4 linked regions of the Anolis sagrei genome follow. The protein of the gene in region 4 interacts with the protein of the main gene of each other region in a biochemical or structural test. Links are inferred from orthologs where the notes say so. Each region holds a gene or a part of one and is shown on either strand. Other genes may lie near its edges.

What was found.
Region 1: the proteins of PCNA (region 4) and POLH form a complex in vitro, tested with the Homo sapiens proteins (7 studies listed by BioGRID). The link is inferred for Anolis sagrei from reciprocal best matches to the Homo sapiens genes PCNA and POLH.
Region 2: the proteins of PCNA (region 4) and DNMT1 form a complex in vitro, tested with the Homo sapiens proteins (3 studies listed by BioGRID, with this or other methods). The link is inferred for Anolis sagrei from reciprocal best matches to the Homo sapiens genes PCNA and DNMT1.
Region 3: the proteins of PCNA (region 4) and POLI form a complex in vitro, tested with the Homo sapiens proteins (4 studies listed by BioGRID, with this or other methods). The link is inferred for Anolis sagrei from reciprocal best matches to the Homo sapiens genes PCNA and POLI.

Annotation. Positions count from the first base shown.
Region 1 is NC_090021.1:49,690,864-49,698,497, forward strand, and holds the start of POLH (DNA polymerase eta), read right to left. Parts: upstream 3,010-7,634; 5' UTR 2,918-3,009; coding exon 2,781-2,917; intron 1,432-2,780; coding exon 1,297-1,431; intron 259-1,296; coding exon 41-258; intron 1-40. Other genes in the region: XPO5 (exportin-5), read left to right, coding at 6,265-6,369. UniProt on the Homo sapiens protein: DNA polymerase specifically involved in the DNA repair by translesion synthesis (TLS). Due to low processivity on both damaged and normal DNA, cooperates with the heterotetrameric (REV3L, REV7, POLD2 and POLD3) POLZ complex for complete bypass of DNA lesions.
Region 2 is NC_090022.1:172,052,322-172,060,201, forward strand, and holds the start of DNMT1 (DNA (cytosine-5)-methyltransferase 1), read left to right. Parts: upstream 1-4,876; 5' UTR 4,877-4,967; coding exon 4,968-5,014; intron 5,015-7,880. UniProt on the Homo sapiens protein: Methylates CpG residues. Preferentially methylates hemimethylated DNA. Associates with DNA replication sites in S phase maintaining the methylation pattern in the newly synthesized strand, that is essential for epigenetic inheritance.
Region 3 is NC_090022.1:284,994,457-285,001,499, reverse strand, and holds the start of POLI (DNA polymerase iota), read left to right. Parts: upstream 1-4,033; 5' UTR 4,034-4,041; coding exon 4,042-4,258; intron 4,259-7,043. UniProt on the Homo sapiens protein: Error-prone DNA polymerase specifically involved in DNA repair. Plays an important role in translesion synthesis, where the normal high-fidelity DNA polymerases cannot proceed and DNA synthesis stalls. Favors Hoogsteen base-pairing in the active site.
Region 4 is NC_090027.1:20,002,341-20,010,316, reverse strand, and holds the start of PCNA (proliferating cell nuclear antigen), read left to right. Parts: upstream 1-4,974; 5' UTR 4,975-5,058; coding exon 5,059-5,279; intron 5,280-6,617; coding exon 6,618-6,715; intron 6,716-7,976. UniProt on the Homo sapiens protein: Auxiliary protein of DNA polymerase delta and epsilon, is involved in the control of eukaryotic DNA replication by increasing the polymerase's processibility during elongation of the leading strand.

The sequences.
Region 1 (7,634 bases), on a different chromosome or scaffold from region 4:
AGCAGAGCAATGGAATACCACGTCTGAAGCTATGGAATACCTTTATTATCTGCAGTCTCTTCTAATGCAAAGTTGTCTGGGAATCCTTCAACATAGGTAGTGGCCAATTGTTCTGCTTCAATAGATTGTCCCTTCATCTTTTGAAGCCTTTCATGTACAGCACTAGTTAAGTCCATATAGGCCTCATCAATGCTGGCTCGCTCAATCACAGCAAAGCGAGACATGACTTCCATCACTTCCACGCTTGCCTCTCGGTACCTATATCAGATAGGCACAAAATGATCCTTTAATATTCCTGTTGCACATTCTCTTACAATTGGATTATTATTAAGCAGTCAACCACTAGAAAATGAGATATATATGTGTGTGTGTGTGTGTGTGTTAGAGCTTCAATACTCTCCAAAACGACAGCACTTTCCCCTCATCAACTGCCAAGTATACTAAGATAATGAATAAGGATTGAATAAACTAGAATAAGTCCAATACACTATTTAAAAGAACACACTGGGAGATAAATTTTTGAATCCTAGGATATTGCTCAGTTAAAGCCAGACAACATGCATTATATCCTAGTTATGAATAACAGCTAAACATGCTTCGTAAAAACCACCTCATACTCAGAGCACGAAAGAGCAGCATTGATCAACTTCCTTCTCAAACTAGTTTTTACTCCAGATTATTTCACAATCCACATCAGATTTATTTATATTTATCGTGTCAGAAATGAACTGAGAATATAGTTATAATGTATAAAAAAACCCACAAAGTTAAAAACTTAGCATTATACTAAATTTCCTTTGACCAGAAGCTGGGCACTTCCAGTGACTCAGGTGTCACTTTAAGAAGGTCCTCCACTGTGCATGTAGCAGGCTCAGACTGACTGAATTGTAGTAAGTGGCCTGTGTTTGCTCTTCTCCACGCTCGCATGGCAATGCACTCCACTTAGTAGCCCCATTTCTTAAGACTGGCTTTGCATCTCATGGTGCCAGAGCGCAAGTCTGTTCAGTGTCTTCCAAGTCGCCCAATCTTCTGTCTGCACAGGAGGAAGTTTCTCATTTGGTCAGCCACTGATTGAGGTTCTGGGTTTTTACCTGTGACTTTTGTACTCTTGCTTGCTGAGGTGTTACTGCAAGTACCTCTATAAATCTTAGGAAGCTATTTCTTGATTTAAGGCTTGGCATGCTGGCTGATATCCGAACAGAGAATGGGCCAGAGATGTCATTGCCTTGGTCCTTTCATTACAGGCTGCTACCTAAGTTAATACCATCCAAGAGAAGCTATAACAACTAGACTTACCTGGTGAGGTCTGCTTTACCATGGGCCTCTGGCACTCGAGCCACCAGGAGATCTGGGCACAGCTTCTTGGCATCAACAGCCCACATGTTCCTGGTAACTCCAAAAGCACGTGCTTCATAGCTCACAGCAATTATTCTGAATTTGACACAGAAAGAAAAGGGGATGCAGCAACTACTGGGTTTTATGCCCTCCCACACTGCCACCCCCTTTCCTTGTGTATCAGTATTAGACTGTCAGCCTAAGGGCTGAGTACTGTCAAACAAATGCCCCATGAGGAGCTTCTGGGGGAAGTGAAGCCTGGATAAATGAAGGTTACTCCAGAATACAGGAGCAGAATTCAAAACGATCTTAACAGATTAGAGAGATGGGCCAAAACTAACAAAATGAAGCTCAACAAGATACAAGATACTCCACTTAGGAAGAAAAAATGAAATGCAATGATACAGAATGGGGGACGCGTGGCTTGAGAGCAGTACGTTGACAAGAAATGTTGACAAGCTGGAATGTGTTCAGAGGACGACGACTAAAATGATCAGGGGTCTGGAGAACAAGCCCTATGAGGAGTGGCTTAAAGAGCTGGGTATGTTTAGCCTGAAGAAGAGAAGGCTGAGAGGAGACATGACGGCCATGTATAAATATATAAGGGAAGTCATAGGGAGAAGGGAGCAAACTAGGACGTGGAACAATGGCTTCAAACTACAAGAAACTACCTTAACATGAGGAATAACTTCCTGTGAGAGTTGTCCAACTGTGGAACTCCCTGCCGTGAAGTGTGGTGGAGGCTCTTGTTTTGGGAGCTTTTAAACTGAGGCTGGATGGCCATCTGTCAGGGGTGCTTCGGATGTAATTTTCCTGCTTCTTGGCAGGGGGTTGGACTGGATGGCCCATGAAGTCTCTTCCAACTCTAGGATTCTATGATGTTGTTGTTCATTCGTTCAGTCGTCTCCGACGCTTCGTGACCTCATGGACCAGCCCACACCAGAGCTCCCTGTCGGCCGTCACCACCCCCAGCTCCTTCAAGGTCAGTCCAGTCACTTCAAGGATGCCATCCATCCATCTTGCCCTTGGATTCTATGATAGTCGTGTTTAAATATGTGAAAAGGATACCCTATTGGAGATTGGTTTCCACTGCTCCAGAGACTAAGGGTGTATCTGCTATGGATTCTTATGAGTTTTTGATGAAAATACGTTCAAAGCAGTCTTGACAGATGGCCATTCAATCTCTGCTTATAAACCTCCAGAGGACACTCCACCAAACTCAGAGGCAGCATATTCCACTGCCAAACAGCTCCTACCTAGGAGCTTTAAATTAGGCATGGGCCGACTTGGGCCCTCCCTCCAGGTGTTTTGGACTTCAACTTCCACAATTCCTAACAGCCGGTAGGCTGTTAGGAATTGTGGGAGTTGAAGTCCAAAACACCTGGAGGGAGGGCCCAAGTCGGCCCATGCCTGCTCCCATTGCCCAAGGGAGCCGAGGCACGTACCCGCCGCCCTTCCAGGTCTTGTACTGGGCCACGACGCAGGGCTTCCCGCGCAGACTGGGCTGCAGGCGCTGCTCCACTTGGATGTAGAAGCAATCCATGTCGGCCAGCGCCACCACCCGCTCCCGCCCGCGAGACATCCTCAGGAAAAGATTCAGAAAGTTCCTTCAGTGAGTGGAATTCCCGCCTTCTTTCTCCTCAGAGGCGGAAGGGAGGGAAGAAAAGGAAGTGACGCAACGCGCAGGTTGCAGCGTGGCTCCGCACGCTCTTGGAACGCAAGGAGAGAAACGGATCAAGGCGTCGCTGCAATGCCTGCTGGGAAATGGAGTCTTGAAGGGACATGTCAGGGTTCCACCACGCTGTAGTCGAGGAACTGTGATGACGTCATATTGGTTTCTTTCGTGACGCAGATATTCTTCGCCAAACTGTCTACATACAACATAAACATAGGAAAGTGGGAAGAAGACAAGCGATTCTTGCTGATTCTACAACGAAGAAGCAATGCAGTCTTTAACTCCCGGGGCTTAATGCTTTAGACTCGTGGGAGCTATAGTTTCCCAAGAGAGATCTGGATTCCAAAGGATTGGACCATGGGAAGGTCTTTGCACACAGCCATATAGCCCAAAATATCACGGCAGATAATCCACAATATTGGTTTGGACTGGATTATCTGAGTCCACACTGCAATATAATCCAATTCAATGTGGATTTTATACAGCTGTGTGGAAGATGTCGGAGTTCAAGTCATATCAAACTCTATTAATTCCACAGTGTAGGTTTATTTATTATTTATTTATTTACAACATTTCTATGCCGCCCTTTTCACCCGAAGGGGACTCAGGGTGGCTTACAAGTTATTTTATTTATTTATTTAGAGTTTTTATAACCCGGTCTTCTCAACCTCCGAGGAGGGACTCAGGCCGGCTAACAACATAAGATTCAATACAATAAGAAAAAACAGTATACATCATCAATATAAAATACATTAAAATACAATTCATACAATTCGTACAAGTTACAAAAAAGTTAGTTCGTCACAGTGAATCACAAATTCATCGCCATCCACCAGAAAGGTCAGCAGTTATTGACTCAGTCATCATTCTGCAAATGCATTATCCCAAAGCCATGTTTTTACCAGCTTTCTAAAAGTCAGGAGGGAAAAGGCAGATTTAATCTCCATCGGGAGGGAGTTCCAGAGCCGAGGGGCCACCACCGAAAAGGCCCTGTCCCTCGTTCCCACCAAACATGATTGCGAAGGAGGTGGGACCGAGAGCAGGGCCCCTCCAGAAGATCTTAACAACCTTGATGGTTCATAGGGGAGAAGCCATTCGGACAGATAAATAGGGCCGGAGCTGTTTAGGGATTAATATATGTACATACAATATATTATTAGCATCACACAATATTAGTATTATATATTACTATATTACACTATACCACTATACTGTAATATTAGTAACATTACATGTAATATGGAATATAAAATTATTAAATTGTATTATTAATAGTATTATATTGTATTACATTATACTATCAATATTATATGAGTATAAAATATTTATTTATTATTTATTAAAAACATTTATATTCCGCCCTTCTCACGCCAAAGGGGACTCAGGGCAGAGCACGACATATACACAGCAAATATTCAATGCTAGGACACAAATTCACATACAATACAATACAATGCTTAATAATCCAATTGTAAGAGAATATGCAATGGGAATATTAAAGGATCATTTTGTGCCTATCTGATATAGGTACCGAGAGGCAAGCGTGAAGGGAGTTCCATAGCCGGGGAGCAATCACCGAAAAGACCCTGTCTCTCGTCCCCACCAATCGTGCCTGTGACAATGGCGGGACGGAAAGCAGGGCCTCCCTGGAGGATCTTAATCTCCATGATGGTTCATAGGTTCATATATGATATTATTAGCACAGCACAATATTAGTATTATATATTACTATATTGTATTATACCACTGTACTATAATAATATTATTAGTAATATTATATGTAATATCTATATATATATAAATGCTCTGTGCATAATGAGTACCTTAAAAATAAAAGAACCAATGAACGAAATCACACCAAATTTGGCAACAAAATGTCTCACAACACAAGGAGTGACCATCACTCAAAAATTATAATTTTGTCATTTGGGAGTTGTAGTTGCTGGGATTTATAGTTCACCTATAATCAAAGAGCATTCTGAACTCCACCAACGATGGAATTGAACCAAACTTGGCACACAGGACTCCCCTGACCAACAGAAAACACTAGAAGGGTTGGTGGGCATTGGCCTTGGGTTTTGGAGTTGGAGGTCACCTACATCTTGAGAGCACTGTGGACTCAAACAATGATGGATCTGGACCAAACTTGGCACGAATACTGAAGACGCCCAAATATAAACACAGATAGAGTTTGGGGGAAATAGACCTTGACATTTGGGAGTTGTAGTTACTGGGATTTATAGTTCCCCTACAATCAAGGAGCATTCTGAACCCCACCAACGACAGAATTGGGGCAAACTTCCCACACAGAATCCTCATGACCAACAGAAAATACTGTTTTCTGGTGGTCTTTGGTGACCTTTATGACACCCCCTTGGTGACCCCCCTCCGGGGTCTTGATTTCCCAGGTTGAGAAATGCTGCCTTAAGGCCATCCATTCCAACTCCCTTCACCAGGGCAAGAAAACATAATCATAGCTCTCCTGACAAAGGGCCATCCAGCCATTCCCACACACACACACATATGTATATGACAGATGCAGTATCATAGATTTGAAAGGGACCCCTAAAGAAGGACAATGATATGTTGCATATTCCAGAGTTGGCAAACCAGACAATCTCCACATCAACACTGACAAAGAAACAGGAAGAAATACTGTTTACCCACAAGCAGAACGACATTACATATATTATAAACCAACACTTTCTCGTTACTTTATTTTCCAGATCAACAGACTGGGCCACAGCAACGCGTGGCAGGGGACCGCTAGTAAAATATATAATTATTATATTGTATTATTATTAGATGTAGTTGTATAGTGGAATAGTGGTATCCACGCTTTGACTTTGGCCTTGAAACCCCGTGGAGCTATTGCCACGACCTCTCTCTGGTGGTCGCAACTTGTAACTGCAGCTCTTTGCTCCAAATTTCTGACCGCATTCCAAAGGCCGCCTCCAGTCCAAAATAATGTAGACAGGACCCGGAAGCTCCGTGTCATCAACGGAGTGAGGCATTCTACTGGGCTAATTCTACGTTTCTAACTCAGAGCCGTCCAAGTTGTGGACGGTGCTTTGCGCAGGCTCAGTGGAGACAGTTTGGCTGCTGGCGCCTGCGCAGTGCTGCCTTTGGGCTTGTGTACCCGGCGCGGTGTGGCTCTCGGGTTCTCCCCCCCTGTGCCTGGTTGCCCGGGGCAACGGGGCCTACTTTCTCCTTCTTCTTGCCTCCCCCCGGATAGAGCCCCTCTCCTCGCCGCCATGTCTTGGGACCCCGTGAACACCCTCTGCGAGCAGCTGGTGAAGGCGGTCACGGTGATGATGGACCCGGCCTCCACGCAGCGGTACCGCCTGGAGGCCCTCAAGGTAGGGAAGGCCATCGAGATGCAGCAGATCTCCTCGCAGCTGCCTCCAGGCCCAAATAGTTCCCGTATCCCCGGCGCGAGTTCGAGCCCGCCCCGCAGGCCTCCAAGTGTCGGGTCGCCCCGTCCGTCCCCACGCCACCTTCACGTGTCCGCCTGGTTGAGTTTGCTGCAAGCTTGTTTGAGGGCTTCTGCAAGGGAGAAGGCGCCCCTCTTGCTTTGAAGGGACCCGGGGCCCGTCTGCACTGTGGGATGAATGCAGTTTGGCACCGAAATTCGTCAGCAGTTTCTTTTACCAGCTTCCACTTTTATTATGGCTTCTATTTTGTCTCCAGACTTGGATACAAGTCTGGTCAATGTTTATATATGATTTATATTAATTGTATTGTATTTTTTGTTTTTGTTTATTGCTTTTTGTTTTATTGATGTGTTGTTGGGCTTGGCCTCATGTAAGCTGCTCCGAGTCCCTTGGGGAGATGGTGGCGGGGTATAAATAAAGTATTATTATTATTATTATTATTATTTGTGATTTTTAGAAATAATGCTTTGAAGTAGCATATTTATATATATTTGTTGTGTGAGAAGCAAATTGAGAATGCAGGTATAATGTATTTAAAGCCACAAAGATTAAAACTTGGAATTATACTAAATTTCCTTTGGCCAGTATCTGGCCACTTGGAGTGCCTCTGGTGTTGCTGTGAGAAGGTACTCCACTGTGCATGTGGCAGGGCTCAGGCTGCATGGTAGTAAGTGGTAGTAAGTGGCCTGTGGTTTTATTCTTCTCCACACTCGCATGTCGAGGACTCCACTTTCTATCCCCAGCATCTCGTGGTGCCAGAGTACATCCTGTTCTGTGCCTTCGAAGTCGTCCAGTCTTCTGCATGTGCAGGAGGAAGTTTCTGGTGATAGTATGATAACTGAGTCCCTGTGCCACGAGCGTTACGCTGTTTCTGGAACGCTGCTTCGAGTACGCAGATTGCGTGGGACAATACCACTGAAGTAATTTAACGTAGGGGAGGGACACAGATAACAGTGAATGAATGTATCAGTTCTTTAATGAGAAATGGTAAACAACAGTTTGGGAAACGGTTTGGGAAAACCATTAACGGGATAGCAATCAGCTATCTGCCCCAAAATATTATTAAACTCTTCAATATTGTTTCCCGCCCACATCCAGGCTGTCTATAAACTTGAGGGTGTTCACCACAAATTCAACATTCCTGCCAAAAACTCATGGCCAGCTCCGTTGTCCGAAAGTGCACAATAAAC
Region 2 (7,880 bases), on a different chromosome or scaffold from region 4:
CGTGAGCAGGGCCTCTCCAGATGATCGAAGGGAACGTGTGGGTTCATATATTGTATTATGTTTTCTGGATATCCTCGGTTTCTGAACTGGTGTTTCGTTACTTTGATCTCATCATCGAAGTCTTGTTGAGTCAAGGAGTTATGTTGAATCCTGAGCATCTGTGTATAGGGTAAATTGTTTTTAAGGCCCAATGGTGGTAACTGTTGTAATGTAACAAAGAGTTTCTATCAGTGGTTTTGTGGTGGTTTTTCACTCTCAATCTGTCATTTTCTTTTTTGACCAGAACATCTTGGAAAATCAGGGATGTGGAGCTAATGTTCCCTGTAAATTTGATATTGGAATGAATGGTATTAATCCAAGATAATAAAGTTACTGCCTCCTGGTGTGAATTTACAATCATAAAAATGTCATCAATAAATCTACAATATTTGATTATGCTGTTTGCTACAGGGTTACGTGTGTGATTCAGTATTATGTCCTTTTCCAAATTGTCCATAAATAAATTTGCTATAGACGGCGCAACTGGGCTGCCCATGGCTACTCCTTGTACATGGAAATAATATTCTTGGTCAAATTTTAAATATTTTTTTCAAGCATCATGTCAAGAAGATCCAACAAAAAGAAAGTGGGTGGGTGACAATTAGGTCTCCTGTTTAAAGTTTATTCACATATGAATCGCGCCTCCTCTATTGGAATACTGGTGTACAATGATGTTACATCTACGGACATTAAAACTGCATCTGTTGGAATCACCAAGGGTTCAATGATATTGATAAAATGTTTAATATGCTATAATTGTGTGGAGTGTGTTATTTAAGTTGCTTTTATAATTTTTACTGATTTTATCATTTTTTTGAGCCCCCGGTGGCGCAGTGGGTTAAAGCATCTAGCTTCTGAGCCTATTGAACGAAAGGGCACAGGTTCGAATCCAGGGAGCGGTGTGAGCTTCCATTGTCAACCCCAGCTTCTGCCAACCTAGCAGTTCAAAAACATGCAAATGTGAGTAGATCAATAGGTACCACTCCAGCGGGAAGGTAACAGCGCTCCATGCAGTCATGCCAGCCACATGACCTTGGGGGTGTCTACAGACAATGCCAGCTCTTAGGCTTAGAAATGGAGATGAGCACCACACCCCAGTCGGACATGATTGGACTTCATGTCAGGGGAAAACCTTTATCTTACCTTTACACTGCCATACAATCCACTTCAAAGGAGACAGAATCATAGAATCACCTATAATTTTTACTGATTTTATAATATTTAATGGTTTGTTTATATGTACCTTTGGCATTGAATGTAACTGTGTTTTATTTTCTTATAAGCTGTCTTGAGTCCCTTCGGAGAGACAGGGCAGGCTATAAATACATAAATATTATTATTACTACAACAATCTTCTATGGAGCCTGTAAAGTTCTACCCAGGAAGAATGATCTCCCATGGGATGTTCCTTCTTGCTTCCTTCTCACCATTGCTACTTAGTGACCTATGGAGCCCAGGGGATGATGCAGGAGCATCCAGCTGTGTTCTGATAGCTGGACACAACACATAGTGACAAAGAATCTTGAAGAATATCTCAAGAGTCTTCTGGAGGTCCCCGGGCATGACACCATCATCACTGTGCATCTGGGTAGAGGGTATAGACAGGTAATCCTCTGCCATTTATGCTTTTCAACAGTCGCCAATGGCCATGTTAGGAAATGCAAGAGAGAGATGGGTTTTGAGGAGGTTAGGAGGTCATTTGGTCTGTAAGGAGTACATTTTGATCTATAATAACTATAGATGGGAAATTGGATATAGAATGATACTTATAGTGTTGGATATCATCCCCCCCCCCCCCCCCGGGTACCATCCCCACTACATCCTTTTAGACTGCCTTCGAATGATCTTGTGGGTTGAGTTGGGTTATGTGGTTTTTAGCCTAGATTTTAAAATTTGTGGGTTATGTGGTTTTTAGCCTAGATTTTTAAATTTGTTGAAGTTTGAAGCATATAACCCCTTGGGTTTGACGTGGATGTGCGGGACTGGGTCCCCCCGTTATGATCTGGTCACCAACCGTAATAAAGTTTACTTACAGATTACAGAAGAGACATAACACATATACACACATAGATGGACATGCACTTACACATATATGCACATAGTATGTATATAAAAGCACATACAGATACATATCTACACACTAACATATATGCACACAGTATATAAACACACTTATGCCTACATATTACGTATGTATGTATGTATATATATACATACACATATCTACACACTATAAAAACACATAGACATTTGATATATACAGTATATATACATACATACATATACATACACTCTATATATATATATATAGATACAGTCATTACACACACACACATCTCTTCTTAGGCGATCCCTCGTAGTCCGAGGATGATATATAAACATCCCAACCTCAGATATGCAGATGACACCACTCTGATGGCCGAAAGCGAAGAGGAGCTGAGGAACCTTCTAATCAAGGTGAAAGAAGAAAGCGCAAAAGCTGGGTTGCAGCTAAACATCAAAAAAACCAAGATTATGGCAACAAGAATGATTGACAACTGGAAAATAGAGGGAGAAAATGTGGAGGCCGTGACAGACTTTGTATTTCTAGGTGCAAAGATTACTGCAGATGCAGACTGCGGCCAGGAAATCAGAAGACGCTTACTTCTTGGGAGGAGAGCAATGTCCAGTCTTGATAAAATAGTAAAGAGTAGAGACATCACACTGGCAACAAAGATCCGCCTAGTCAAAGCCATGGTATTCCCTGTAGTAACCTACGGATGTGAGAGCTGGACCTTAGGGAAGGCTGAGCAAAGGAAGATAGATGCTTTTGAACTGTGGTGTTGGAGGAAAGTTCTGAGAGTGCCTTGGACTGCGAGAAGATCCAACCAGTCCATCCTCCAGGAAATAAAGCCCGGCTGCTCACTGGAAGGAAGGATACTAGAGACAAAGTTGAAGTACTTTGGCCACATCATGAGGAGACAGCAAAGCCTAGAGAAGACAATTATGCTGGGGAAAGTGGAAGGAAAAAGGAAGAGGGGCCGACCAAGGGCAAGATGGATGGACGGCATCCTTGAAGTGACTGGACTGACCTTGAAGGAGCTGGGGGTGGTGACGGCTGACAGGGAGCTCTGGCGTGGGCTGGTCCATGAGGTCACAAAGAGTCGGAGATGACTGAACGAATGAACAACAATAAATATGTGAGAGGAAGCCACAGGGGGGAGGGAGCAAGCTTGTTTTCTGCTTCCCTGGAGACTAGGACATGAAACAATGGCTTCAAACTACAAGAGAGGAGATTCCATCTGAACATGAGGAAGAACTTCCTGACTGTGAGAGCCGTTCAGCAGTGGAACTCTCTGCCCCAGAGTGTGGTGGAGGCTCCTTCTTTGGAAGCTTTTAAACAAAGGCTGGCCATCTGTCAGGGGTGATTTGAATACAATATTCCTGCTTCTTGGCAGGGGGTTGGACTGGATGGCCCATGAGGTATCTTCCAACTCTTTGATTCTATGATGGTCCTCCAAGTTTGGTGTACTGGTGGTGGGTCCGTAGGTGACTGTGGAACCCTATTCTTGACCTGCATCTTCTCCCCCAGTGAGGGCATCAGTTTCCAGGTGGAAGGCGGTCCCAGTCGGGGTTGGCTTGGCACATCTTCCTCTTGGCACGTTTCTCTCTTTCACCCTCCATTTGTGCCTCTTCAAATTCTGCAGCACTGCTGGTCACAGCTGAGCTCCAAGTGAAGCACTCAAGGTCCAGGGCTTCCCAGTTCTCAGTGTCTATGCCAGAGTTTTTAAGGTTGGCTTTGAGCCCATCTTTAAATCTCTTTTCCTGTCCTCCAACATTCCGTTTTCCGTTCTTGAGTTCGGAGTAGAGCAACTGCTTTGGGAGACGGTGGTCGGGCATCCGGACAACGTGGCTGGTCCAGCGGAGTTGATGGCAGAGGACCATCGCTTCAATGCTGGTGGTCTTTGCTTCTTCCAGCACGCTGACATTTGTCCGCTTGTCTTCCCAAGAGATTTGCAGGATTTTCCGGAGGCAGCGCTGATGGAATCGTTCCAGGAGTTGCATGTGACGTCTGTAGACTGTCCACGTTTCGCAGGCATATAGCAGGGTTGGGAGGACAATAACTTTATAGACAAGCACCTTGGTCTCCCTACGGATGTCCCGGTCCTCAAACACTCTCTGCTTCATTCTGGAAAATGCTGCACTTGCAGAGCTCAGGCGGTGTTGTATTTCGGTGTCGATGTTGACTTTGGTGGAAAGGTGACTGCCAAGGTAGCGGAAATGGTCAACATTTTCTAATGTTACACTATTAAGTTGTATCTCTGGCATTGGAGAGGGGATGGCTGGTGACTGGTCCCCCTCTATATATACAGTCATTACATATATACACACGCGCACTTCTCTCACTGCCATGCACAGAGCTACAGAGTTATGGTCTGCATTTTGTAAATGATCAAAGCGACCTCTGACTTTTCTATAAGGACCTCATCACACTAGAGAATGAATCCACTTTAATCCCGGTTGCTGCCTCCTGCAGAATTCTGGGGTTTGTAGTTTAGGGAGGAGCCTAGAACAGCATCCCTAAACTACAAACCCCAGAATCCTGCAGGAGGCAGAAACCAGATTGAAAGTGGATTCATTCTCTCTAGTGTGTGATGAAGTATGAAAGCCCTAAGAAATGTATGGAGTCACCAAACCTCGATAAAGGCACATCAATACAAACAAGCACCCCCTCCGTTGTCTACTTGGTCTCCCCCACTCCATGCATTGAGAAGGCCCGAAGTAGAGACCTCCTCTTGCCTCCCCCCCCCCGGGCCTAATGCCGGATGGTTCATTCCAGCTCCGGCCCCGCCCCTCCCTCCTCCCCCTCCTCCCCGGTGCGCGCGAAACCGCTCTCGGCCGCCCTCCGGCTCCCTGCCCGCCGCCTTCCTTCCTTCCTTCCTGCCGAGATGCCCGCCCGGGCCGCCCCGCTGACCCCCGAGGAGCTGCGCAGGCGGTGAGTGAGGCCCCTGCTCCCCACGACCCCAATTCAAGCTTTGGGGGGGGGGGGCAAGCACCCTCAGTGAGGGGGAGAGTACTGGTCTTTCGAGCCCCCCCCTCCATTTTGTATATGGTTTCTCCCTCCTCAGCCCCCCCTCCTTTTTAGACATGGTTTCGCCCTTCTTCTTCGTCTCTCTCCTTCAGAGGGAAGTGAAGGGAGAGTGTGAGGAGAAAGAAGGGGGTCTCTTAAAGGGAAAGGTGGCCTTCTGAGGCCTTCCTGGACACCTTCCCCTCATTTAACATAATTACACCATAATTACTCCTCCCCTATCAAATTCTGTGTGTTCTTGAAGGATTGGAAGGCCTGCTTTGCTGATAGGGGAGCATCTGAATAAAATGAGCACCTTCCAGCTGAATCAAATCCCACATTATCACCTTTGAACTGGATTATATGGCAGTGTGGACTCAGATAACCCAGTTCAAAGCAGATATTGTGGGATGGCCAGCCTTGATGTTGTCTCTGTGGAAGGGCCCTCCATTGCTTGGCCAGTCCTGGGCCTGTTAACTGCCTCCACTTTTTTTTTTCAGTATTGGAATGGATGCTCATCAATATGTTGTTGTTATTATTGCTAATTTCTGTTTCTTTCTGCCTCTGCGTTCTTTTCTTTTGGCTGCCCTGCCACGCAGCACAAGTTGGGTGTTTGGCTGTCAATCATCTCCAAAAGCGAGAAAATAACTTAAGGTGTCAAGTTTTGTTCGTCTCAGGTTTCTTCTCTTTAGAATCAAAGAGTTGGAAGAGACCTCATGGGCCATCCAGTCCAACCCCCTGCCAAGAAGCAGGAATATTGCATTCAAATCACCCCTGACAAATGGCCATCCAGCCTCTGTTTAAAAACCTCCAAAGAAGGAGCCTCCACCGTGCTCCAGGGCAGAGAGTTCCACTGCTGAACGGCTCTCACAGTCAGGAAGTTCTTCCTCATGTTCAGATGGAATCTCCTCTCTTGTAGTTTGAAGCCATTCTTCCGCGTCCTAGTCTCCAAGGAAGCAGAAAACAAGCTTGCTTCCTCCTCCCTATGACTTCCTCTCACATATTTATACATGGCTATCATATCTCCTCTCAGCCTTCTCTTCTTCAGGCTAAACATGCCCAGCTCCTTAAGCCGCTCCTCATAGGGCTTGTTCTCCAGACCCATGATCCTTTTAGTCGCCCTCCTCTGGACACATTCCAGCTTGTCAATATCTCTCTTGAATTGTGGTGCCCAGAATTGGACACAATATTCCAGATGTGGTCTAACCAAGGCGGAATAGAGGGGTAGCATTACTTCCCTGGATCTAGACACTATGCTCCTATTGATGCAGGCCAAAATCCCATTTGTCTTTTTTGCCGCCACATCACATTGTTGGCTCATGTTTAACTTGTTGTCCACGAGGACTCCGAGATCTTTTTCACACGTACTGCTCTCGAGCCAGGCATTGTCCCCCATTTTGTATCTTTGCATTTCGTTTTTCCTGTCAAACTAGGCCTCCCCCAACGTTTTTAATAGCAATAGAAGCAGAGAAGCAAGGGGATTCAATAATAATAATAATCTTTAATGTTGTGTCTCTTATTGTCTATATGTTTTTAATTGCTTGTATTGTTGTTATTATTGCTTGTATTGTTGTGTTTGGGCTCGGCCTCATGTAAGCCGCACCGAGTCCCTTGGGGAGATGGTAGCGGGGTACAAATAAAGTATTATTATTATTTATGCCTCCATCTCCCAAATGGGGACTCGGGGCGGCTTACATGATGCCAAGCCCAGCAACACAATGCAATAACTAAAATCAAAACATACACAATAACTTGATAAATTACATAAAACATAAAGATTTCCTACTTTTTGTTGTCTCCAGGAGGCAGGAAGAGGAGGCTAGCTGCTCTTTGTAGTTTACATCCATTCCAGTTTTGTGTTTGGGGACTCTGGGCCCTTCCACACAGCCATATAACCCAGAATATCAAGGCAGAAAAATCCCACAGTATCTGCTTTGAACTGTTATCTGAACCTTCACTGCCTTATATTCCAGTTCAAAGCAGAAAATGTGGGATTTTAGTCAGCTGTGTAGAATAATAATAATAGTAATAATAATAATAATAATAATAATATTTTTGTCGTGTCAGGAGCGACTTAAGAAACTTCAAGTCGCTTCTGGTGTGAGAGAATTGGCCGTCTGCAAGGACGATGCCCAGGGGGCACCCGGATGAATTGATGTTTTAATAATAATAATAATAATAATCTTTATTTAGACCCTGCCACCATCTCCCCAAAGGGGACGCGGGGACCTAAGGCTGTATAAAATCCCACACTATCTGCTTTGAACCGGGTTATATGGCAGGGTGGACTCAGGCCCTTCCATACAGCCATATAACTCAGAATAATAAGGCAGAAAAATCCGACAATATTTGCTTTGAACTGGGTTATCTGAGTCCACACTGCCATATATTCCAGTTCAAAACAGAAAATTTGGGATTTTATTCAGCTATGTGGAATAATAATAATAATAATAATAATAAACCTTTATTTGTACCCCGCTACCATCTCCCGAAGGACTCGGTGCGGCTTACAATAATAATAATAATCTTTATTTATACCCTGCCACCATCTCCCCAAAGGGGACTCAGGGACCTAAGGCTGTATAAAATCCCACACTATCTGCTTTGAGCCGGGTTATATGGCAGTGTGGACTCAGGCCCTTCCATACAGAATAACAAGGCAGAAAAATCCGACAATATCCGCTTTGAACTGGGTTATCTGAGTCCACTCTGCCATATATTCCAGCTCAAAGCAGAAAATGTGGGATTTTATTCAGCTGTGTGGAATTATTATTATTATTATTATTATTATTAT
Region 3 (7,043 bases), on a different chromosome or scaffold from region 4:
CTACCTTTAATCTCCCTTGTTACGGTCCTAAAGCAAGGATAGACGACGTGTACTTGCAATGCAGATATAGTTGGACTGCAATTCCCATTATCCTTCATTATCTACTCTTGTTTGCTAATGGAGACAACTCCAACAACATTGGTGAGCTACATGTGACTTAACTACTGGTACAATGTGATAGAGGTTGCATCCCTTAAACTGGAATGTAGCAGTTGGAGGAGATGCCCAAACATTTGCTAACAAGTTTCAACATGCACACCAGGCAGCAAAATCTTGTTGAATTAATTAAAAATATGACTCAGGAAACATACAACACATCATGCTTTATTTTAAACATGGGAGTTTATTATTTCAGTTTATGATTTCAGCTCATCCAGCTACATCCATAGATAATCTTCTTTACATTTATTTTCCAAAAGACCAATGTATTTTTGGACTAATTGCTCTAGACTCTCAGTTAACCAGAAAACAATCAACCAGAACTCTCAAGCAACAGGCAAAAACATCAAAGAATTTTTTTTGTCATGTCAGGAGCGACTTGAGAAACTGCAAGTCGCTTCTGGTGTTAGAGAATTGGCCGTCTGCAAGGACGTTGCCCAGGAGACGCCTGGATGATTTGATGTTTTTATCATCCTTGTGGGAGGCTTCTCTCATGTCCCCACATGAGGAGCTGGAGCTGATAGAGGGAGCTCTTCTGCCTCTTCCCAGATTCGAACCTGCGACCTGTCGGTCTTCAGTCCTGCCGGCACAGGGATTTAACCCACTGCGCCATCGGGGGCTCCTATCAAAGAAATAACAACATTTAATAAAAATGCCATTTTTATAATATAGTAAAACAGTATATTAATCTTTATCTCTATTTTTCTTAATTTGCTTTTAAATACTGTATTTCAGTATCAATATCAAGTCAATACAGAGTTTATAATATGGTATGGTACATCTATTTTTAATAGTAACTCACAAGGAACTAGAAACTACATCTATCTAGCACAGTGTTTCTCAACCTGGGGGTCGGGACCCCTGGGTGGGGGTCACGAGGGGGGTGTCAGCGGGGGTGCCAAAGACCATCGGAAAACACAGTATTTTCTGTTGGTCATGGGGGTTCTGTGTGGGAAGTCTGGCCCAATTTTATCGTTGGTGAGGTTCAGAATGCTCTTTGATTTTAGGTGAACTATAAATCCCAGCAACTACAACTCCCAAATGTCTATCTTCCCCCAAATGCACCAGTGTTCACATTTCGACATACTGAGTATTCATGCCAGGTTTAGTCCAGATACATCATTGTTTGAGTCCACAGTGCTCTCTGGATGTAGGTGAACTACAACTCCAAAATTCAAGTTCAATGTCCACCAAACACTTCCAGTATTTTCTGTCGGTCATGGGAGCTCTGTGTGCCAAGTTTTGTTCAATTCCATCGTTGATGGAGTTTAGAACACTCTTTGATTGTAGGTGAACTATAAATCCCAGCAACTACAACTCCCAAATATCTAGGTCTATTTTCCCCCAAATGCACCAGTGTTCACATTTCGCCATACTGAGTATTCATGCCAGGTTTGGTCCAGATCCATCATTGTTTGAGTCACAGTGCTCTCTGGATGTAGGTGAACTACAACTCCAAAATTCAAGTTCAATGCCTACCAAACACTTCCAGTATTTTCTGTCGGTCATGGGAGCTCTGTGTGCCAAGTTTTGTTCAATTCCATCGTTGATGGAGTTTAGAACACTCTTTGATTGTAGGTGAACTACAAATCCCAGCAACTGCAACTCCCAAATGACAAAATCAATCTTCCCCCAAACTCCACCAGTATTCAAATTTGGGCGTATTGGGTATTTTTGCCAAATTTAGTCCAGTGAATGAAAATACATCCTGAATACTAGATATTTACATTACGATTCATAACAGTAGCAAAATTAGAGTTATGAAGTACCAATTAATTTTATGGTTGGGGGTCAACACAACATGAAGAACTGTATTAAGAGGTTGTGGCATTCAGAAGGTTGAGACCCACTGATCTAGCATCTCCCAATCCCCATGGGTGACGGCTGACTAAGAGTCTACTGTATGTATTTCAACTGTCTTCTTCAAGTGCCACATACAATCAAATAGCAGAAATTCCATTTACTAGACCAGAAAAGAAATGGCTAAGATCTCTTAAGTCCCAAGGAACACAGAAAATGAGACACAGCCCAGATCCCGGCCATAGAAGGCTTTAAAGGTCATCGCCAGAGTTTCAATTGTTTGGAGACGCAATGGCAACCAGCCCAGTTGTTGCAACAATGAGGTTCTGTGCTCCAGCGGTGACATAGGCAGGCATGAATTACGTGTGAAATGTAATTTATGTCTGCGCAATGTGCATGTCGCTAACAGGATGTTAGGCCTATGAGTACAAATGCCAGATACTCTGACGGAGGGGAAACATTCCATCCATTTCGCACTAAAAATTCTCTTCCGAAAAGATTTCCTGTCTCTCCAGATTATTTCTGTTTTTATACTAATGGGAGCATTTTTATTGTAGAATTAACACATTTCAACTGTTATGGCTCTCAATGCTATACGAGGGTTGAATGAAAAGTAATGCCTCCACCATGCTTTGGTTACATCCCGTTTAGATTACTGCAACGCTCTCTACGTGGGGTTGCCTTTGAAGACTGCCCGGAAGCTTCAACTAGTCCAACGCTGCTAACAAGAGCGGGGTACGGGGAGCATACTACTCCTCTGTTGCGCCAGCTCCACTGGCTGCCAGTTAGCTTCTGGGCACAATTCAAAGTGCTGGTGTTAACCTATAAAGCCCTAAACGACTCCGGCCCAGTTTACCTGTCCGAACGTATCCTCCCCTATGAACCATCAAGATTGCTAAGATCGTCTGGAGGGGCCCTGCTCTCGGTTCCACCGGCCTCACAAGCACGTCTGGTGGGGACGAGGGACAGGGCCTTCTCGGTGGTGGCCCCTCGACTCTGGAACCCCCTTTCACTGGAGATCAGAACGGCCCCCTCTATCTTGACGTTCAGAAAACAGGTGAAAACTTGGCTCTGGAAACTGGCATTCGAAGAATGAGTCAAGTTCTGTGATATGGGTGGATGATTTTATGATGACGACTGACCATTGTCATTATATGTTTGTATTTTGTTTTTAATGTCTTAGTGTAATCTAGAATACGATGTTTTTAATGATTGTTTGTAATATTGATGTTGGAAACCAGCCTGAGTCCCTCGATGGAGGTGAGAAGACTGGTATACAAAACTGCTAAATAAATAAATAAATAAATAATACATTTCTGAGTGATACGAGGATCGTCCTGAATCAATCTGTCAACCTTTTGCTTGTGAAACTTGGTGGTTTCTGTCACAGGACGTCTAACTCTTTGTTTGTCATGCAAGTCAGATGTTCCCACCTCAACATCTTTAAACTTACTCGCCCAACGATGCACAGTACTCACATCAACATAATCACCATACACAGCTTGCATTCTCCAATGAATTTCTTTTGGAGTGACACCTTCTGCTGTCAAGAATTCAATGACTGCACGTTGCTTAAGTCTGCGCAGGGTTCCATAGTTCACCTTTAACAACACAACTGTTCAATGCTAAGGCTTCCCACTAAAATGGAACTGTAGAGGAGAGTTTACTGAGCAAGCCAGTACCTGCCGCATACCAGTACTGCCATCTGTTGAGGAGCTATGAAGGTGGAGGCATTACTTTTCATTCAACCCTCGCAGATCAGGCATGGGGGCCAACTTGGGCCCTCCAGGTGTTTTGGACTTCAACTCCCACCATTCCTAACAGCCTACCGGCTGTTAGGAATGGTGGGAGTTGAAGTCCAAAACACCTGGAGGGACCAAGTTGGGTCATGCCTGGATATAAAGCCATGGGAGTTGTAGTTTTACAAGGTCTTTAGCCTCCTATGCCAAAGAGGGCTGGTGCCTCACCAAACTACAACTCCCAGGACTCCATCGCATGGATCCAGGGCGTTTTAAGTGATGTCAGAGTGCACCTAAAGAAAGGGCACATTCTCATTCACACGAGACGCCCGTGACACGCGTCATGGCCTGGGCGGAGAAGGGCCTGCCTGAACGGTCTTCACTTGGTCCGTCGCTCCTCCTTCCAGGGAAGCTGACCTCGCCATTGGCCAAGACCAGGGCAGGCGAAGAGAGGCGGTGTTTGGTGCCCGAAATGGAGGACGAGGAAGAGGAGGAGGAAGAAGCGGCATGGTTGCGCCCAGACTCTCCCTCCGGTGCTGCGAGGAATCCTCCCCCTGCCTGTAAAGACCCTCGACTCCTTTTAGCAGCCTGGGAGGAGGATTTGGGAGTGAAAGGCTCGTGGGAACCGAGGCAGGAAGGCACGGAAAGAGCGCACAGGAGGCGCCTGCGTTTGTTTGGCTGACTGGCAACAAGCTTCCCTTTGTGTTGCAACTAGCTTCCCTTTACACCTGGAACAGGCCTGCGCAAACTTTGGCCTTCCCTCCAGGTGCTTTGGACTTCAACACCCACAATTTAGGAATTGTGGGAGTTGAAGTCCAAAACATCTGGAGGGAAGACCAAAGTTTGCCCAGGCCTGGTGTAGAATCAAGCCAGTTTGATGCCACTTGAACTGCCAGGGCTTATGCCAGTGATTCTCAACCTTCCTAAAGCTGTCACCCCCTCAATACAGTTTCTCATGTTGTGTTGACCCCCAATCAAAAAATTATTTTCATTGCTACTTCATTGCTGTAATTTTGCTACTGTTATGAATTGTAATGTAAATATCAGATACTCAGGATGTATTTTCATTCACTAGACCAAATTTGGCACAAATTTCCAACATGCCCAAATTTGAATACTGGTGGGGTTGAGAGGGGATTGATTTTGTCATTTGGGAGTTGTAGTTGGCAGGATTTATAGTTCACCTACAATCAAAGAGCATTCTGAACTCCACCAACTATAGAATTGAACCTAACTTGGCACACAGAACTCCCATGACCAACAGAAAATACTGGAAGGGTTTGGGGGGGAGTGACCTTGAGTTTTGGAGTTGTAGTTTACTTACATCCAGAGAGCACCGTTGACTCAGTCATGGATCTGGACCAAACTTGGCATGGATACTTAATATACCCAAATGTGAACACTGGTGGAGTCTGAGGGGAAAATAGGCCTTGACATTTGGGAGTTGTGGTTGCTGCGATTTATAGTTCACCTACAATCAAAGAGCATTCTGAACCGCACAAATGATAGAATTGGGCCAAATTTCTCACACAGAAACCCCATGACCAACAGAAAATACTGTGTTTTTTGGTGGCCTTTGGTGACCCCTCTGACACCCCCTCACGACCCCCCCAGGGGTACCGACCCCCAGGTTGAGAAACACTGGCTTATGCTATGGGAGTCTGTGATGTGTACGGCCAGGGATCTACTTTTGCTGGGGTTTGGGGCAGTTTTTCACATTCACCTAGGTCTTATGCCCCACACCCTAGCAAATGTGAACCTGCAGAGCACAGTCCAGAGTGACTCCCAGGTGTTTGCATGTGCAGCAATGCTCCGAGCTCAAGATGCTTGCCTGTTCTTAAAATGAAAAGCACACATCTGGATTTTAGATGGATTAGGAATCGGCTGTTTTTCCTGTAATAGGCAGTAAGAGCACCTAAAGCTTTGGAGAACTTCTGTTCAACCATTTCAAAGCTCCCTGCTTGAGTGGTGATGGCATGATCGTCACATGTTGGCCCATGCCTGATGTAGAATCAATCCAGTTTGATGCCACTTCAACTACCATGGCTCATGCTTTGGAAGTCTGTGATGTGTACTGTCAGGGATCTACTTGTGCTGGGTTTGGGACACAGGTTTTCACATTCACCTGGGTCTTATGACTTGCACCTAGCAAATGTGAACCTGCATCTTCAAAAGGGACTGTATCCCCATCCAGTGCTGGCTTGAGATGCTTGTCTGTTCTTAAGATAAAAAGCACACATTTGCATTTTAGATGGATTAGGAATCAGTTGTTTTTCCTGTAATAGGCAGTAAGAGCACCTAAAGCTTCTGAGAGCTTCTGTTCAACCATTTCAAAGCTCCCTGCTTGAGTGGTGATGGCATGATCGTCACATGTTGGCCCATGCCTGGTGTAGAATCAATCCAGTTTGTTGCCACTTCAGCTACAATGGCATATGCTATGGAAATCTGTGATACGTATGGTCATATCTACTTTTGCTGGAGTTTGGGGCACACATTTTCACATTCACCTGGGTCTTATGCCCTGCACCCTAGCAAATGTGAACCTTCATGTTCAGAAGGGACTGTAACCACATCCAACATTGGCTGAATTCGTATTCTCATCAGTCTGCCTTTTGACTGACCACGACTGCCTTGATCTTACCTGGATTAAGTTTCAATTTCTTCATCCTCATCCAGTCTATTACTGATGACAGGTACTGGCTTGGATCCAAGTCAAAAGCAAGACAAATTGTGTTAGACTAAATCAGTCCTACCATATTATTTATTTATCATGTCAGAAGCAAGTTGAGGATACAATTAAAATGCATCTAAAAAGACAAACAAGGTTAAAAAAAACTTGGCATTACACTAAATGTCCTTTGACCAGAAGCCGGCCACTTGGAGTACCTCTGGTATTGCCATGAGAAGGTCGTCCATTGTAGGTAGTCTGTGGTTTGCTCTTTTCCAAACTTGTATGTTGTGGACTCCATTTTGTAGCCCCATTTCTTAAGGTTATCTCTGCATCTCGTGGTATTAGAGAGCTATCTGTTCAGCACCTTCCAGGTCATCTTCTCTTCTATGTGCCCAGGAGGGAGTCTCTCATTTGGTATCAGCCACTGATTGAGGTTCCGGGTTTTAGTCTGCCACTTTTGCACTCTCGCTTGCTGAGGTGTTCCTGTGAGTATCTTTCTCGATCTCAGGAGGCTGTTTTTTTATTTAAACCAATAGCATGCTGGGCCGGAAATGTCAATGCCTTGGTCCTTTCATTACTAGCTGATACTTTCCGACAGATGTCCAGTGGTGCAATACCGGCTAAACTAGTGGTTCCCAACCTTTGGTTGTGATTTGGATTTCAACTCCCAGAAA
Region 4 (7,976 bases):
CCCTAGGGGGGGCTGTCTCTTCTGGGCGGCATGGGGTCTGGTCCTGCTCTCTGTGTGATTCTCCCGTGCCATCTGGGTTCCACACAGGAAAGTCCACAGACCTCCCTTGCTCACCTTGCCCAGGTAGTTGTCCTCAGCGGCAGGAGTGGATTATGGGTCCCACAGTTCGACCAGTTGCTCTTCACTGCGCAGAGGGGACCCCTGGACCTCGACGCCCCCTTCATATTTAAGGCAGTTAATGGGATAATTTAGACATACACATACATGCGCTCAGGGAAAGGGGAGGGAGGAAGGGCCAGGAAGAAAAAGAGCATCAGAGGGACTGCGTGTGTGTGAGAGAGAGATTTAACCATAGATGTGGGTGAAATGTCAGGAGGGAATGCTTCTGGAACATCCCTTCCTTAGGTTTTTTTTGGAGAAGGAGGTAAGAGGGAGCAGCAGGATTCCTCTGGGAGATGGAGGAAAGAATTCACAGAACACTGGTTCCTTAGAAGATGGGAGGGGAGGGAAGAGAGAGAGAGAGAGAGGATGGGTTTCAGAGACATTTCACAAGCACATGGAACTCTTTGATGAGGTCCGGTCCTTAGAGAAAAAAGGGAAAAAAGGCAGGGAGAGAGAGAGAGAGAGAGAGAGAGAGAGAGAGAGAGAGAGAAAGAGACCCAGAAAACTTTATTTGGCAAGAGGAAACAGGAACAGAAAAGGTCCCCTCTTACACCTCCCTTTGCAAGAGGAGAAAGGGAGGAGGGGTTTTGGGAGAAAAAAGGGAAGTTGGGGAGTAAAGAGAGAACAAAGGATAAGGCAGGGACATTGGTGACTGCCCCTGAAAAATGGGTTTTGTAGTTGCACAGAAGAGAAGGGGAGAAAAAGAGAGCTCTTGGGTCAGGGAGACCAGGAGAGAGAGAGAGACTTTTGCAAGGCAGCTGAGTCACATCAGTGGCAGGGTCTCTCCTGGCGAGGAGAAACACTGTTTATTATAAATAAACAGGCACTGAAGATTCAGCTTGAGAAAGAAAGGGATTTTGTAGTAGCTTGGTGGAGAAGGGAATGAGCAATGCCTCCTTTTCCCATCTGAAGGAAGGAAAAAAGGTGGCACAGGAGAAAGCAGGAGAGGAGGAGAGCAAAGAATTTCCCTAGCGCATTTCCTCAAGGAACAGGGGGAAAAAAATTAGGGGGGGCATATGAATGCAGACATTTCATAATAGGGAATAGGGAAATGGAGGGGTTGGGAAGGGAAGGAGGGAGTCAGGGAGATTGGGTAAAGGGAAATGGGAATGGGATGGTAGGGGAATAAGCAATTTCTTCCAAAGGGAGAGGGTGAAGGGGTCTGGAGGGGGTTTCCTGGGGGTTGGGGCTCTGTAACCTTCCCCTTGCATGGTCGGAGTTGGTCGCAGCTACCCCCCTTCCGCCTCCCACCGGCACATGGTAAAAAGCATGAGGCAAAGGCGGTTTCGGCCCTCTTGGCCCCCTCACAGCGATCCGACTGCCATGAGGGGCCACGAAACTCCACCTGCTGAGGGCCCGGAGGGCCACCTCTCCATGCGATTTTTACCCTACTGGCCTGCGTCGGCGACGCAACCCTGCCCCATTCCGCCAGTATCTTCCCAAAAGATGTTTCTGATGAAGCAGGACGTTTGATCCCATAATAACATGCGCCCATCTCTCTTGATAGCCCCACACTGAAGTGGCTAATCAGGGTAGCCCCCCCAACCGCTGGCAGGCTAGAGCCTGAACGGTCCCCTAGCAAGAGAGCCCGAGGCGATCAGCCCTTGGCAGCTAGGCAGTCCGAAAGGGAAGGGCTCCCTCTCCAGCGTAGCTCCAGCCAAGGCCGCAAAAGCGAGCTGAGTTGCTATTCTGGGCCTCAAACGTGGATGTTCGCTACCTCCCGCCAGGAATTTGTTACCGAGACCTAGAGAATCCCTCCCCAGTGGGCCGACTCCGAAGCTGGTTCAGAAAGCCTAGAATCCCCTCCCACCTGGCAGCCAAGGCAGCCCGCGGTTGGCTTCTTACCCGTCCGGACGTTTTCTTCCCCCCGTTCCGCGTCGGTCGCTCCTCTTCCTGGAAGTCCTTAGATCAAGGCTTCCCTGGCGCTCCTTTGTGCTGAAACCCTAGGTCAGAGCTTGGGAGGAAGTGGCTGCGGGAGAATTTGTAGTTTTGGTTAGCTGGTCAAATGAAAGTCCGAATTGGGAGAGGCGCCTCTTTTCCCAAGCCGTTCCTCCTTCGCTGCTGGCCCAAAGAATCAGACCAAGGCGCCTGCTTGAGAATTTAGGCTATAATTTAGTCTGGAACCTCAAGCAGCAGTCCCTTCGTGGTAAAGCCAAATGATATCGAGCTCCTTTTTGGAGGGTTCTCCCAGCGAGGGGGAACCCTGGAGACCTCTAATGGGGTCTTGACCTTGGCGAGCTGCCAGCAGAAGCCAATCCAAAGCGCACAATATTAAGAATTAATCTCGCCAGAGGCTGAAGAGGTACCCAGCGACCGAAGCGTTTATTTAGCGATTCAGCTGAAAAGGATGCATTACAGGGATATTTCCTCAAGTAAGCATACAGCACAGTGATTTTCAGGCATTTTTATACAGTCAGAACAAAGAAATCCTGGTTTGAATCCCCCGCCCGCCTCCTGTCAGTTCCCTCTGTCCTGATTGGCCGGCTCCAGAACAGCTGGGAGGAGGCTTGGCCGCTGGTCCCGCCTCCCCTCCAATCGCCGGCCGCTGTTGCTTCCGGGGGGCCAATCAGAGCCCTTGGAGCGCCTCTGGAGATTGTCCAATCAGCGGCCAGGAGGCGGGACGTATCTTGACAGCGCAGAGGGGCGGATCGCCTGGAGGCGTCCGCCAGCTGATGGAACACCTTTTGTTCTTCGCACGGCAGGGAGGCGGAAGGGGAGACAAGGGATTTCCTGGGCCCCGATAAAAGATGTGTATAGGGAAAAGAGGGTGGCGGTGGGTGGTGTCTGGATCTTCAACCTTGCGGGCAAAGAGATCCTTTGTCACAAGGGAGCATGCACAAACACCACAATTGGTGTAATCAGTCTGTTTTTCCGGGCTTTTGGCTGACAAAATCTCTGGCTTTTGTTTGTCTGAACTCTGAAAAACAAAGCCATAGATTTGCCAGTATTTTCCATGCAATGTCAATATGAATGGAGTTCCTTCCAAGGAAATTGGATTTCCTTAACTGTAATCCCCTGGTCACATATTCCTTTATAGGGTAAAGTTCAAGAGGGGAAAGGCAAGGAAAGGGGTGAGGGTGCACCTCATTCCTTTACATTCCGTATTACACACACTTCATACATATATTCTTTACAGTCTTTCATAACTCATAGATTTCATAAAAAGGGTCCCCATCCCCTCCCATCCCAGCAAAGTTTATTAGAAAACCCACAGCAATTTAATAAAGGCAATCAGCAGAGTTCCTGAGGTATGATCCTTTGCAACAAGGGCATGCACCCACAGGCGGGGGCCATTCTTCAGAAGCGGCTTGGCTTTTGGAGTTCAGGAGGAAGCCCGTGATGCCAGGGCACCAAGTCAATGAGAAAGGGCAGAAAAAGGTCCACAAAGAGTCCGCAAATGGTGGAGAGTGGGGCAATGTCCTTTGGGGAACTGCATTTCCCTGATCAGGGGCCAGGGTCCAGTGCACAAGCCAGAGAATTCACAGAGAGGAAGCAGGAACCCAGTTATGTGTGCTGGGTCAGGAAGCAGCAGAATCCATAGTCCGGCCCTTGGTGAACTACAAATACTTGGGGGGGAAAGATGCTCTGCATCACCCGCATGAGAAGCTGGAGCTGATAGAGGGAGCTCATCCGCCTCTCCCCGGATTCAAACCTGCGACCTGTCGGTCTTCAGTCCTGCCAGCACAGGGGTTTAACCCACTGTACCACTGGGGGCTCCATGTTTTTCTATAAAAATGTACTAATTGCATGTATGTCTCTCCTGACGAACGATTGCGGTTTGACATCTGTACCAGCTGGATGAAATAAATACAACTCGGTGGCTTTTCTTCAGCTTTGGTGAGATTTATTTGGGAAAATTCAGGGAAAAATTCTTTGGCTCTTTTCGCTCGCCAGAGTACTTCTCGCCTTCTTTGGAGGCTCCTGGGTGGGAGCCTCCAAATTCTAGTTCGATATCAACACTTTCTCGTTACTTTATTTTCCAGATCACCAGACTGGGCCACAGCAATGCGTGGCAGGGGATAGCTAGTAAATAAATAAGTAAAACTAAAGAAAACCACGGACTACAAAGCCCATCATCCTCCAGCAGGCCCCGCCACCTGTGAAGGCTTAGTTCTCGCTAAAAAGTAACTTTTCCAAACTCTGGACTGCATTATATAAGTGTACTATGAGTCTACACTCATCATATAACGCGGGTACAATGGAGCATAGATTTGGGCCCAGCCTCTCCCTGAAGAAACAAGCCCAGGCAAGACTGGGTTGCACTAGTCAAGCTTCCGGGTTGAGAACCTCCCCGTGAATGTGATTGGACAATTCCGAGAGAACCCAAGAATCTAAGTGGTTGCGCTATCTATGACGTCAGGCGGGAATACTCAGCGAAAGGCTCCTTCGCAGGAAGAAAAATATTCCCTGCTGCGCATGCGTCGTTCCACTGTGGCGCCTTTTAGCTAAAGAGGGGGATGCACATGCGCAGTCGGTCCCGGCTGCGCGCGGGAAGGGCTGAAGACACGCCTATTGATTAGTGCGAGAAGAGTGAGAGGGGCGGAGGGTCTCTGGAATGGGGACACGCCCACCTCTTTCAGTGCTGTGGATTGGTCCCCACAAGGAGTGGGCGGGGCCTTTGCTTTAAAGGGGGGAATGGGTGGAGACACGCTCACTGCGCTCCTTGATTGGCTCACAGCGAGTGGGCGGGACGGAGGGAATAACTTATCCATCGCTGTTGATTGGCCTCCATGAGGAGGGGGCGGGGCTTTCATGAGGAGGGGGCGGAGCCTTCACGAGGAGGGGGCGGGGCAGTATAAAAGGGCCCTTCGTGCGCGCAGCAGCCCTCAGAAGCGCTCGTGACCCCGAAGGGAGAACATCGCGGCCTAGCTGTGTGGTGTCTTTGAGGCCGGCAGGATGTTCGAGGCGCGGCTGGTGCAGGGCTCGCTGCTGAAGAAGGTGCTGGAGGCGCTGAAGGACCTGATCACCGAGGCGTGCTGGGACCTGGGCTCCGGCGGCATCAGCCTCCAGAGCATGGACTCCTCCCACGTCTCCCTCGTCCAGCTCACCATGCGCTCCGAGGGCTTCGACACCTACCGCTGCGACCGCAACATCGCCATGGGAGTCAACCTGGGCAGGTCGGTACCTAAGCCAAAGAAGGAAAGAAGGGCCAGAAGCGCCATGTTTGCCTTTTCCCGCCGCGATGACGTCACGCGCGCCATTTCGCCGCCCTTTTGGCGGGAAGCGCTGAGAGGGAACGAGGGGGCGTGGCTTCTCTCTAGTGACCCCTGAGAGCGGATTGGCTCCTTTGGAAGCCGTCATCACCCCTGCTTCCACCCGATTGGTGGACTCCTTTTTGTATGGGCGTGTCTAAGGGAATTGGCGCGTTTTTCAAGGGAGAGGAAGCCCTTTTCATGTCAATCCACCAAATATAAAAAATGATTTATTATTATGATGCTTATGCTTATATATTGTCCGCTTTTTCTCTCCACAAAAGAGACTCAAAGCAGCTGTGTATCCTAGGTTCTTGTAGGTTTTTCGGGCTATAGGGCCATGTTCTAGAGGCATTCTCTCCTGACGTTTCGCCTGCATCTATGGCAGGCATCCTCAGTGGTAGTGAGGTCTGTTGGAATTAGGACAATGGGTTTATATATCTGTGGAATGACTGGGGTGGGGCAAAGAGCTTTTCTCTGCTGGAGCTAGGTGTGAATGTTTCAACTGACCACCTTCATTAGCATTTGAAGGCCTGGCTGAGCCTGGGAAAATGTTCTGTTGGGAGGTGTTAAGATGTGCCTGGTTGTTTCCTTTCTGCTGTTTTGCTGTAGTAATTTTAGAGTTTTTTAAGGAGACTCAAAATGGCTTGAATAAAACAATAAAGCCTACAGAGAACATAGGTACTAATCAGGCCCACAAACTTTAAAGCAGGGGTCCTCAAACATTTTAAACAGAGGGCCAGGTCACAGTCCATCAAACTGTTGGAGGGCCGGATTACAATTTGAAAAAAAAAATGAATTCCTATGCACACTGCACATATCTTATTTGTAGTGCAAAAAAAACCAAAAACAAAACACCTCTTTAAACAATATAATAATTAAAATGAAGAACAATTTTAACAAATATAAACTTATTAATATTTCAATGGGAAGTGTGGGCCTGCTTTTGGCTGATGAGATAGGATTGCTGTTGTCAGCTTTCAAGTTGATCCAGACTTAGGTTGACCCTGAGCGAGGGCCGGGTAAATGACTTTGGAGGGCCGCATCCGGCCCCCGGGCCTTAGTTTGAGGACCCCTGCTTTAAAGCCTCCAAGGTAAAAAGTTGACTCTTAATAGCGATATTTTGTACTTGTTATATTTCTATATGTTATTTGTTTTGTATCCTTACATCTATTATATTATGTTAAACATTGATGTTATTAAGAATGAACCTGCCAATGTTACGGGAAGGAGAGTCAACCTTGTCTCTTCTCTCATTCCTAGCATGTCCAAAGTTCTCAAGTGTGCGGGGAATGATGACATCATCACCCTGCGAGCAGAAGACAATGCGGACACACTTGTTTTGGTCTTTGAGACGCCAAGTAAGTATCCAGGCGCTTGTTGGTGGGAGCCCCACTGATGAGAGCGCCTTTCTTTTCATACAGTTGGGAGGGGCCCCTAAAAGCCATCTAGCCCAGCCCCCTTCTGCCTTCCTCCTAGAAAGGCACCATCAAAGCTCCCCCAACAGATGGCCATCCAGTCTCTGCTTAATAATAATAGAATCCTAGGATTCGGAGGGACCCCCAAAGGCTATTCTGTCCACTCTCTTGCCTTCATGCAAGAAAAGCACAGCCAAAGCACTCCCCGGCAGATGGCCATCCAGTCTCTGCTCAATAATAATAATAGGATCCTAGAGTTGGCCATCCTACAGATGGCCATCCAGTCCTACCCTCCTTTATTCTGCTATCACATAGGAAAACTACAATCGGCCCACCTGACATGGCTATCTAACCTCAATAATAATAATGGGTGGAGACCTTAAGAGTCTAGTCCTACCCCCTTCTGCCTTCGTGCTGGAAAAGCCCTCCTGAATAGACTGCATGGGTCAACTCCCTTCTGCGAGGCAGGAAAAGCACAACCAAAGCCCTCCCAATACAAGGCCATCCCACTTTAATAATAATAATGATAATAGAGATGGAAGAGGTCTTAAGGGCCATTCTGTCCAGTCCTCTTCTTCCTTCATGCAGGAAAAGCACCATCAAAACACCCTCAGATGGCGTTCCAGCCTTCTAGACTTTCCTATCGTCTGGAAGAGGCCTCCAAGAGCCACCCAGTTCTGCCTTCATGCAGGAAAATTGCAATCAGAGCTCTCCTATCAGATGGCCATCCAGTCTCTGCTTAATAATAATAGACTCCTAGAGTTGGTGGTGGTGGTGTGGGGGAGCCCAAAGGCCATCCAGTCCAGCACCCTTCTACCTTCATGCAGAAGAAGCATAATCAAAGTACCCCTGACAGATGGTTATCCGGTCTCTGGACTCGTATCTTTTCTATTTCTTCTATCTATCTATATAAAATGTTTGTGGGTACACATGTATGTACATATGTGCACACAGCCCCCCCCCCCCAAGACCCACTTTACATCCTGGAGAAGTTTGGGTAGAGTGGACCACAGGTGATGAGATTTGCAGCCCCTTCATCCACTTTCAGAGACTACTGCAAACCCCATCAGCCTTGGATATGGACCAAACTTGGCACACAGATCCCCCTTTATTTTAAATACCGGGTTTGGGGAGAAATGGCAGCATGATGAGGCTTTACAGGCCACCTATATCCTTATGGATCCATTATTATTATTATTATTAT